Linked DNA regions of Caenorhabditis elegans. The protein of the gene in region 1 interacts with the protein of each later gene in a biochemical or structural test. Each region holds a gene or a part of one and is shown on either strand. Other genes may lie near its edges.

Region 1 (7,234 bases):
ACAGTTCCAACAAAATATTTATTCCATATCCTACCACCCTACCCGTTGTGCCCGTTATCCCGAGTACAAATCTCTCTCAAATTTCGACCAAAAATCTGATATGCGCTCTACTGATAGCCCTGTGAACCCATTTTCTTTTAGAGTAATAAAAAACGTGAGAATATTTATTTTTGTTCGACGACTGGTTGGGCGATTGCCTTGACGACTTGGACGGCTTCACGGGATGATGGTGAAGCTTGTACGGCCGAGTCTTTGAGCACCTTCTCGCGACTTGCACTTCTCGATCGAGATTTTCCGATCTGAAAATGTTTACTTCAGTTCAAGGACTCGAACCAGTGGCCTTCTGTTTGCAAGTCAAGCTCGTTACCCACTGAGCCATGCCGACAATTTTTTGCGGTGCTGTGCGGCCAGTGGCTCAGCCGGTAAGAGGCTCAGCTTTAAGGGAAAAGATCACAGGTTCGATTCCTGACGTCGGTGGAGGTCGGTGGACTTGAACCAGTGGCCTCCTGCTTGCCAGTCAAGCCTGTTACCCACTGAGCCACGTGTGCTCAGCCGGTAAGAGATTTTTTAATTAAAAATCTCACATTTTTCATTGCATTCACAGCGTTCTTTAACATTTTTGTGTATCGTTCGCTTTGTGGAAACCAGAAATGAATATTTTTTAACTTTTCATATACAAAATGTCATTAACATTTAAAAAACTCGAAAAACATTTAATCATGAGGGCAAACGTGAACAGAAAAAATAAGGGTAAAACGGGTATTATGACAAAAATCGATTGATTATAGAATATAAAACATGTCTCTGTGAGTATCAAAGGGGAATTTAATAGTTAAAGAAATTGCAATCAACTTACAAAAAATTAAAATTATTAAAAATTAGAAAACTGCTGAAAGTTTTCTATCATCTAAGTAGGTCCAAATTAGGTAACGAGGAATGGGTAAAGCGGTAGGAGTCAATATGCAAGAGCTTGAAATGTCAGAAAAAACAACAAAAATATTAATTTTAACATTAAAATTAACATAAAAAAATTAACAGAGTTAACGCTGCTGAGCCTTCCAGGCAGCCAACTCCTCATGGAACTTTCTCAAATCAGCTTGATACTTTTCCGTACGATAATGGTTGAGCACCTCAGTCCCATAGATCTTCATCTTCTTATAATGACCATATGGAATTGGTACCTCTTTTCGAAAATCATCGTCCAACACAAGACAGGCCAGCGTTTCTCCGTCAAACTCCTCGCGAACCATAATTGCAATAGTGGAATCCACGTTGTTGGTGATGAGAAGCCGAACCCAGTTGATGAGATCTTGCGCCTGAAGCATAATTGTTTTAGAATGTGTTAAGTCGAAATCCAGAGCCTAAGCCTGAGCCTAAGCCTGAACCTATGCTTAAACCTGAGCCTAAGCCTAAGCCTAAGCCTAAGCTTAAGCCTAAACCTAAGCCTAAGCCTAATGCTGAGCCTAAGCCTAGGTCTAAGCCTGAGCCTAAGTCTAAACCTGAGCTTAAGCCTGAGCCAAAGTCTAAGCCAAAACCTAAACCTGAGCTTAAGCCTAAGCCAAAAGTCTAAGCCTACGCTTAAGCCTCAGGCTAAGCCTGAGACTAAGCCTGAACCTATGCTTAAACCAGAGCCTAAACCTGAGAGAGAGAGAGAGCCTAAGGCTAACCTATGCCTAATACTAAGCCTAAGCCTAAGCCTAGATCTGAACCTGAACTTGAGCCTGAGCCTATGCTTAAGCTGAAACCTAAGCCCAAACCAGAGCCTAAGCCTACGCCTAAGCCTAAGCCTACACCTAAGCCTAAGCCTAAGCCTGAGCCTTAAAAAACTTACGTTCCACCTTGTGTAGTCTGATGTCTTGTTGGGCGGCAAAATGAGCGTAGCTTCGTGGTTGTTCTGAAGAAAATTGTAATTAAAAATTAGTCGTCATATTCTGAAAATGGTTACCTCGACAAGTGTAGGCATCGCAGGTGGAACTGGCTCCGTTGACTGTGGATCCCTGACGATTGGAGCTGGAGCTGAAGCCAATTCGACTTTAACCACCGGAACAGTCTGCTGAACTGGAGGCTCTTCTGGCTGGGATGCTGGTGGAGCCTGAGGAGCTGTGAGACGTCTCAGCGGTTGTGGCGGGATCCGATTGATGTGCGGGACCTGCTGAATGATGTTTGGATGGCGACCGGCTGTCGGTGCTGCTGTGGAGATCACCTGCTCTTGCTGCAGAACTGGCGGAGTTTCAGACTCTGGTGGGGATCCGGTAAGCGAGAAAATCATCGCCCGGATCTTTCGTGGGGAATCCCGAGAGTCGGATGAAGCTGGAGTGGCTGGGGTAGCTGGAGCATCCGGTGGGGAGCTGGAGGTGGATGGTGGGGCTTCTTTGGTTGTGGCAGTAGCTGGAACTTCTGGAGCTGCCTCGGATCTTTTTGGGATTTTCTCGGCTGGCTCGTCGACCGGCTCTTTCTTTGGCTCCACGAGCTTCCCCGATCCTCCAGATGTCCTCTTCTGACCTCTTCTCGATCCTCGTCTATTGCCACCACCTCTACCTCCACGTGCATTTCTTGGAGTAGATGTGCTCGCGTCGTTATCCACCTCCATCTCAACCTCCTGCTCCTCAGCGGCGTCCGAATCTTCAGGCTTCTTCTTCTCGGCGGCTCGCCTTGGCAGAGACTTTCTCGGTTGAGCAGCAGGTGTCTCTGGTAGGGGTGCAGCAGGACGACGGCGTGATTCGGGCCACATGTGGCCGAGTTCGCCGACTCGGCCACCATCCTTGGGTCCCAAGTCCATGCTCATAAGACGGTCCATTTCGGTTGTGCGGATTTTCTGAAACTTTGAGAAAAAATTTTAATTTGTTCACGAACCTTTTTTTTAGAACCTTTTTTCAATTTTTAGAGCAAATTTCAGCTTTGAAAGTTTATATCTCAATTGGTTTTTGTCTTATAAAAATTTTGAAAACTGCAAAAATGTTTAGAATTAATTTTTCTATAATTTAAAATAAAAAATAAATAGAAAATATGCATTAGAGATTCAGTTACGAGTTGCCAAAGTAAAGCTTATAAATTGCTCCAATTTAAGTTATCAACAAATACTCAACTACGAAATTGTAAAAAAATGCGGTAATTATTTTGTTAGTTAAGAATTTTTCGAAAAAACAAAAACCGTCCGAGATACGAGCCTTCAAAAAGCTTACCTTTTTTTTCTCGCTAGTCGGTCTGGACGCTTCTCCTTCTTTAGATGTATCCATCTCGGTAGCCGCCGACACATTTGACAGATCCACAGCCGACTCTTGAGGCATCTCTGTGGCAATTGATGTGTCCATAACTTCTGCTGCCGGAGCTGCTTCAGGTGTTGCAGGAGCTGCTGGAGCCGCTGGAGCCATCGGAGCCGCTACTGGAGTCTCTGGAGCCACCTCTGCAGCTGGTGCAGGTCTTCTAGAAGGTGCTCCGCGAGCTGCACCTCTGAAAGCACCACGATAGCCGGGCCGTCCTCCCCTCCGAGCTGCCATTCTGCTCGAGCGAGCCGCGAACTTGTTGGTTCTGAAAACAGTTGATTGATTGTTATCACAGAAAATTGAAACATTGCTAACAAAAATTGATATAACGCGCGACAAAAAACATACACACAAGGTCACACACTGCTGGGAAAACATACATCGTTCCATGTTTACATGAATCTCTGGCACCCTCTCACTCTCCCCCCCTATCACCTTCAAACTTGGCGGCGTCGGTGTGCGAGAAGTTGGCAATAGGGCGCGTTTGTTATCTTGATAAAGTGTAGGGAAATTTAAGCTCAAAAATTTCAAAGACTTTGATCTACGTAGATCTACAAAAAATGCGGGAGAAGAGACGCAGAGTTCTCAACCGATTTTGTATCGTTAAGAACGTGCTGACGTCACATATTTTTGAGCAAAAAATTCCTACATTTTTTGTAGATCAAACCGTAATGAGACCACGGAAAAGACTGATATGATCAAAATCTGGAAGCCAGGCCATATGATAGTTGTGCGAAATATCGCACTTTTTTCCCTTCCGCCATGACTCAGATATTGCTTATTGTCCGTTTCATATTGCAATATTGAGTTTTGTTATCATTAACAATCATCCCACGACATTCTTTAATATCTATTTTTTTTCTTAGTTCAAGAATTCTAAACGCCTGAAAACGGCCTGAAAAACGGCCTGAACGTAGCTTTATGCGTATAAAAAACCACCCACAAATTGGTTAAATGTATGCGCTTTTTGGGCTTTTTGCTTTTGGGAATAATATATTTGCTAATTAATTTTTTGTTCTGAAGCTCTAGTGCCTACCTTTGCAGATTTCTCATAGCTCCTAGATCAATCGGAAGTTCCTGATCCTCATCAGATCCATCATAGAACACCGGCTCGACTTCCCCTTCTTCCATCTCTCGAGAAGCTTGCTCCAAAATGCTCGTCACCCGCTTCTCCACATGATCCGGCTCGTCGGCCATCGGGTCAGCAGTCCTTTGCAATTGCTCATCACGATCGAATATCGTATCATAACGTCCCCGGTTGAGATAGTATTGGAGCTTTGAGCTGACTGGTAGTGGGACAACCTTCTCGTGGAGCATCTCCTCCTCGGCAGTGTTGAGCACTTTGATGATGGAGTTGGTCGGCTCGAACGTTTGGCGGGAGCACACGGCTTTTTCGAATTTATGAGCAAAAATGTCGGCGGACAGGCGTACCGCTTCGTAGAACTGAGATCGGGGGTCTTTGCCCTCTAGCTTTTTGTCGAGTTTTGCATAATATTGAGCTTCTTTTGGTAAGCTGCTTGATGAGCATTGATCTGAAAAATTATTATTTTCACTAATTGTAAGCAAGTTTCAAAAATTGAAGGTCTAGTAGAGCTTTAAAAAACTACAAAATTTTGGTAAATTTCCGAGAAATTCGGAAATTGGGGTTTTTTGAAAATTGGCAATTTGCCAAAACGGAGTTTATATTATAACTTGAGCACCAAAATTGCAATTATTAATTTTTCTATAATATATTTGAAAAATACTCACCTTCCAATGCATTTTCAACTTCGTGCTTTTCCGGTCGAACCACTTGAGATGTCGATCGTCGAGTGGACTGAAAGTTTTAAAACTATTGTAACTTATTGGGACGGTTAGCTATCAAAAAATTGTCAACTAATAAAATGTAGATAAATTTTGGTACTCCAAAGTGTTAGTTAACAATTTTTCCATATCTCTATTTTCCGGCAAGTTAGAGGGTTTTGAAGTTGATAATTACTAAATTTGTTTCTTTTTTTTTAACCCCTATATCTCATTGGAAAATAACTGGGCAACATTTGATAAAATATAAAAAATAGTTTAAAAAAATATTGAGCTGGGTATAAATCATTTGTTTTGTGTAAAAGTAGTGGAGAAACGATTATTTTTATTTTTAAAAATTTGTAAACTATACCTTATCCCTTTCATTTCCCTTCACAGCCTCCGGGGGCTCTACAATTGCAGATGTTGATGACATCTCATTACTGGTCAAGTTTGAACTCATTTCTTTTGAAAAAATTAATTTAAATGTATGTTGCAGTGAAATTCAATAAAACAATCTCCCGCTGAGAGGGGAGCGTCAAGATTCGTGATGGAGCGCGATTGCTCGTATAGTGGGGGGGGGGGGGGGGGGTGTATGGTACTTGGGATTTTGTTTCAAAAATGATTACACAAGGAAAATAAATTTTTAAATAAGTAGAGGTAGATTTTTTACACAAAAAAATCAATAAAATTCTGGAAATGTTTCTTTTCTAAAAAAAAAACTGTCAATTCAACTTTCAGACACTCCAAAAAGTTATGCCCGATCTTCACAATAAAAACTCGTATCTCACAGAAATTCGCAGAAAACTTTTAGATACCGGTAGCCTAAATTTGAAAAGAAAACTAAATTTTAACCAAAATGGTTTTAAAATAAAATTTTAAATACTTTAATTTTCACATTATATTTTCGATCAAAACACTAAAATAATTTTAAAAAAATAAAAAACGAAAACAGCAAACAAAAAAGTGCGAGTGACCAAATCAATCAATGCGAGTCGCAGTGGAGAGTGTGTGATGCGCGCACGCTCACCCCCACTCAAACTCACAGTCACACCTCCCCGACCCTCTTCTTTCACCACAGTGTCTCGTCGACTCGAACGATGATTGGTTTACGGGCGGGGCAATTGGGCAAAAGAGTGAGGAGATGATGGGGAATTGTATGACGACGAAGAATTATGTGGAGAGAGGAAGATTGAAGGGGAATAGTGCAAGAGAAGTTAAGCCCTGATTAGATATAAAAAGAGGATGGCTTATGGATATATGTATATGTATAAGGATTAAAAAAATACATTCCAATTATTTTGTGTATTATATAATTATATGTGTTTATAACAATCATCACCATAACTTATAGCAGATTATTCAATTTTTGGAGGTATAAACCAGGGAAAGGCGGCAATTGCCGTTCGGCAAATATTTCGTCGACAAATTCGGCAAATTGCCGGTTTGCAGATTTGCCGGTAATGTTCAAATCCGGCAATGTGCCGATTTGCCGGAAATTTTTATTTTCAGCAAAGTGCCGGTTTGCAGATTTGCCGGTAATGTTCAAATCCGGCAATTCGCCGATTTGCCGGAAATTTTTATTTTCAGCAAAGTGCCGGTTTGCAGATTTGCCGGAAATATTCAAATCCGGCAATCTGCCGGTTTGCCGGTTTGCCGGATGTTTTCATTTCGGTAAATTGCCGATTTGCCAGAAGTCTTCAATTTCGGCAATTTGCCCATTTGCCGTTTTCCGGTTATCAATTTGTCGGAAATGTTTAGAGGAATTTTATGTAAGACGGAAACCCTTAAAACTGTGCCTTTGTGAAATGTTTTCCCGTTTTCTTTAGATATTTTCATAGAATTGTCTACTTCTAAAAATAGATGTATGAGCATTCCTAGGATGAGTGCAATTTTTCCGATCAAATTTGAAATTTTTAAATTTCCAAAAAAAAATGTGCAAACCCACAATTTGCCGAAAATTTACAGCAAAGTCGGCAAATCGGCAATTAGCCGGTTTGCCGATTTGCCGGAAATTTTCAATTCCGGTAATTTGCCGATCTGCTGATTTGCCGGAAAAAATCTTTCGCGGCCCACCCCTGTATAGATGCCAAGGCTTTTAAAATCACAAGTTTCCGGGGGACACCAGTAACGTAGGAAAAATAATGTTTCATATTCTTTTTTTCATAAACTTTCGATAAAAATAGGGACTT
Region 2 (2,598 bases), on another chromosome or scaffold:
CAAAATGGCCTAATTCGGCAAAAACTCTTCCATTTCAAATTATGAGGGAAGCCAGAAACCCGTGTTTTATTTTTCGGGAATTCCTGAATTCCAAAAAAAAAATTGTAGGCCGTCGATTGCTGTTGCTCAACGCCTGAAGGCATTTGGGAGATTCCGGAAGAGCCTGAGCCGTCGCCACGTGGCAAACTGGCATCGTTGGCTCCGTGAGTTGGCTTAAAATATTCCAGGATACGAAATTCCGAAAAAAGGTGATAAATTGCAGATTTACAATGGAATCCATCTCAAGTTGGAGACATTTTGCGTCTTCTTTTCTATTTTTTCTTCAAAATTTTGTGGATTATTCGTTGATGCTGGTAGCAATGACATATAATTATCCGCTATTTTTCTCGCTTTTAGCAGGTTTTATTTATTTTTTTTTTTTTTTGAATTTTTAGAAGAAAAGCTTAAAATTCGTAAATTTTAGGCCACGCCATCGGATATTTCTTCGTTGGCCCGTTGATGACGGTTAAGGAGGTCGAAAACACTGGAAATTGCTGTTCTTAATTGATTTCATAAATATGTATAAAGCATTAAATTTGAATATATTTTTAATAAAGAAAAATCGATATTCACATTAGAGCGCGCTTGCAATTTCACGATGAGACCTGACGATACCGCGCGAATTAAATCGATCGCTTTTTGGCCTAAAATGCTCATTAACAATTGTTTTTGTAGTTTTTAGCTTAAAATTATATTTTAAAATCCAGTTTGCCTTGTTACATATTGGAAAACGGTATTTTTAGAGTTTTTCCTCAAAAACCAAGCGAAAACCTTGAATTTTGTTCCGAAAACTTGTTCAAAACATTTTTTTCGTTGAAAACTCAAATAATTCACCAATTTATCTATTTTAGGCCGAAATCTCTTATTTTTTCAGTCCAAAAAGCACCAAATTTGGTCAAAAACCTGTCCAAAATCTACCGTACCCTCGTGTTGCTCGTGAAATGCGGTGCATTGTGTGCAAACACCGCGGCGTGAACATGCACACTCTGCAACGCGGGAAATCATTTCGAAAAGGTTTTTAGGCGCGTATTGCCCGATTTTTCGGCTCATTTCGTGTGTTTTCATTTATTTTTGCCTTCTTTCTCCGGTCGCGATGCGTTTAATTAAGTTTTGCTTCTAAATTTCGTCAATTTCGCTGAAAAACCACGTAGAAAACTTGATAGGAACTGGATATCCTAAAAAAAAGGATTTCCTTGAGAAAAATGGGTTTTTTTTCTGAATTTCGCAGTGATATTCTTGAAATTCTCAGCGCAGCGCTCCCCAGACAATCGATATTCCTAATTTTTCAAGCATCTTGTGGCTCAGCCAGCTGTTCTGTAATTATCGATTTTATTTGTTACAGCGTCTATATAAATACCCTAGAAAGTCATCATTCTGCACTCTTAATACCTTTCACTCGTGTGAGTTGCATTCTCCATAGCAACTCTACCTCTCTCCTTCTATCTCTTTTTCTCTTTTCAAATCTAATTTCGTTTCAGAGACTCCCGCTATAAACGATGGCCGATGATGCAGCTCAAGCAGGCGACAACGCCGAATACATCAAGATCAAGGTCGTTGGACAGGTAATTTGACTGGAAATTCGCCGCGAATTTGTTAATAATTCCCAAAAAAATTGCAGGACAGCAACGAAGTGCACTTCCGTGTAAAGTATGGAACCTCTATGGCCAAGCTGAAGAAGTCGTACGCTGACAGAACCGGTGTCGCCGTCAACAGTCTTCGGTGAGTTTTGGAAATCCGCGCCAATTCCTATCAACTTTAAATATTTGCAGTTTCCTCTTCGACGGACGTCGCATCAACGACGATGACACACCGAAGACGCTCGAGATGGAGGACGATGACGTCATCGAGGTCTACCAAGAGCAGCTGGGCGGATTCTAGTCCTCTACCTACACTCTAATCCGAAAACAAACACCCATCCATCCCTTTTCCACTGAGATACTCGGTTTCTCTGTCTCATTTAATCTATTTTCCACATTTCGAATCATATTATACAACCAAAAAAGTTTAAAATAACTTATTTATCTTACAAATAAACTCTTCGTTTTCGGAAAATCCCAAATTTTTAAAAATTAAATTTTATTTTACATGAAAAAATAACACAGTAATAGTAGTAGGAATGATGATAAATTAGAATCAGTAGACAAAAAATCACTTGGACAAGAAATCAGAGACACGAGATTCGATGACCTTCTCCGTCCATTCGCCTCCACTAGCCATGAAGTTCTCGATCTCCTCGACGGTTCGTGGAAGATCGCTCAGATTCTCGTTACCAGAAGCACGAATGATGACGTCATCCTCGATACGGACGCCGCCTGATCCGCGGTACTTGTCGATTTCGGATTTGACGAGGAATTCGCTCTTTTTCGGGTCGGCGAGCGCCTCGTTGAGCAGGAAATCAATGAAATAGCAGCCGGGTTCGATGGTGATTGCCTGGAAGATATCGATTTTTACGTGAAAATTCGGAAAAATTGAGGTTTTCTGGATTTTCCAGCTCCGCGGGGCTAATTTTTCTACTTTTCGATAAAATTTCGGCATTTTGCATGCTTTAACAGCTCAAAA

The links. The genes of interacting proteins can lie anywhere in the genome.
Region 2: the proteins of sop-2 (region 1) and smo-1 form a complex in vitro, tested with the Caenorhabditis elegans proteins (one study listed by BioGRID).

The regions. Positions count from the first base shown.
Region 1 is NC_003280.10:12,338,217-12,345,450, reverse strand, and holds sop-2 (Polycomb protein sop-2), read right to left. Parts: upstream 5,508-7,234; 5' UTR 5,506-5,507; coding exon 5,416-5,505; intron 5,080-5,415; coding exon 5,013-5,079; intron 4,796-5,012; coding exon 4,300-4,795; intron 3,529-4,299; coding exon 3,183-3,528; intron 2,822-3,182; coding exon 1,946-2,821; intron 1,895-1,945; coding exon 1,832-1,894; intron 1,817-1,831; exon of another isoform or gene 1,763-1,816; intron 1,317-1,762; coding exon 1,041-1,316; 3' UTR 656-1,040; downstream 1-655. Other genes in the region: C44C11.6 (Transcriptional regulator), read right to left, coding at 165-299, 585-617. UniProt on the Caenorhabditis elegans protein: Polycomb group (PcG) protein. PcG proteins act by forming multiprotein complexes, which are required to maintain the transcriptionally repressive state of homeotic genes throughout development.
Region 2 is NC_003279.8:1,339,168-1,341,765, forward strand, and holds smo-1 (Small ubiquitin-related modifier), read left to right. Parts: upstream 1-1,510; 5' UTR 1,511-1,535; coding exon 1,536-1,601; intron 1,602-1,657; coding exon 1,658-1,758; intron 1,759-1,808; coding exon 1,809-1,917; 3' UTR 1,918-2,098; downstream 2,099-2,598. Other genes in the region: K12C11.7 (Copper transport protein), read left to right, coding at 109-203, 263-399, 464-543; K12C11.1 (Xaa-Pro dipeptidase), read right to left, coding at 2,188-2,469. UniProt on the Caenorhabditis elegans protein: Ubiquitin-like protein which can be covalently attached to target lysines as a monomer. Does not seem to be involved in protein degradation and may function as an antagonist of ubiquitin in the degradation process.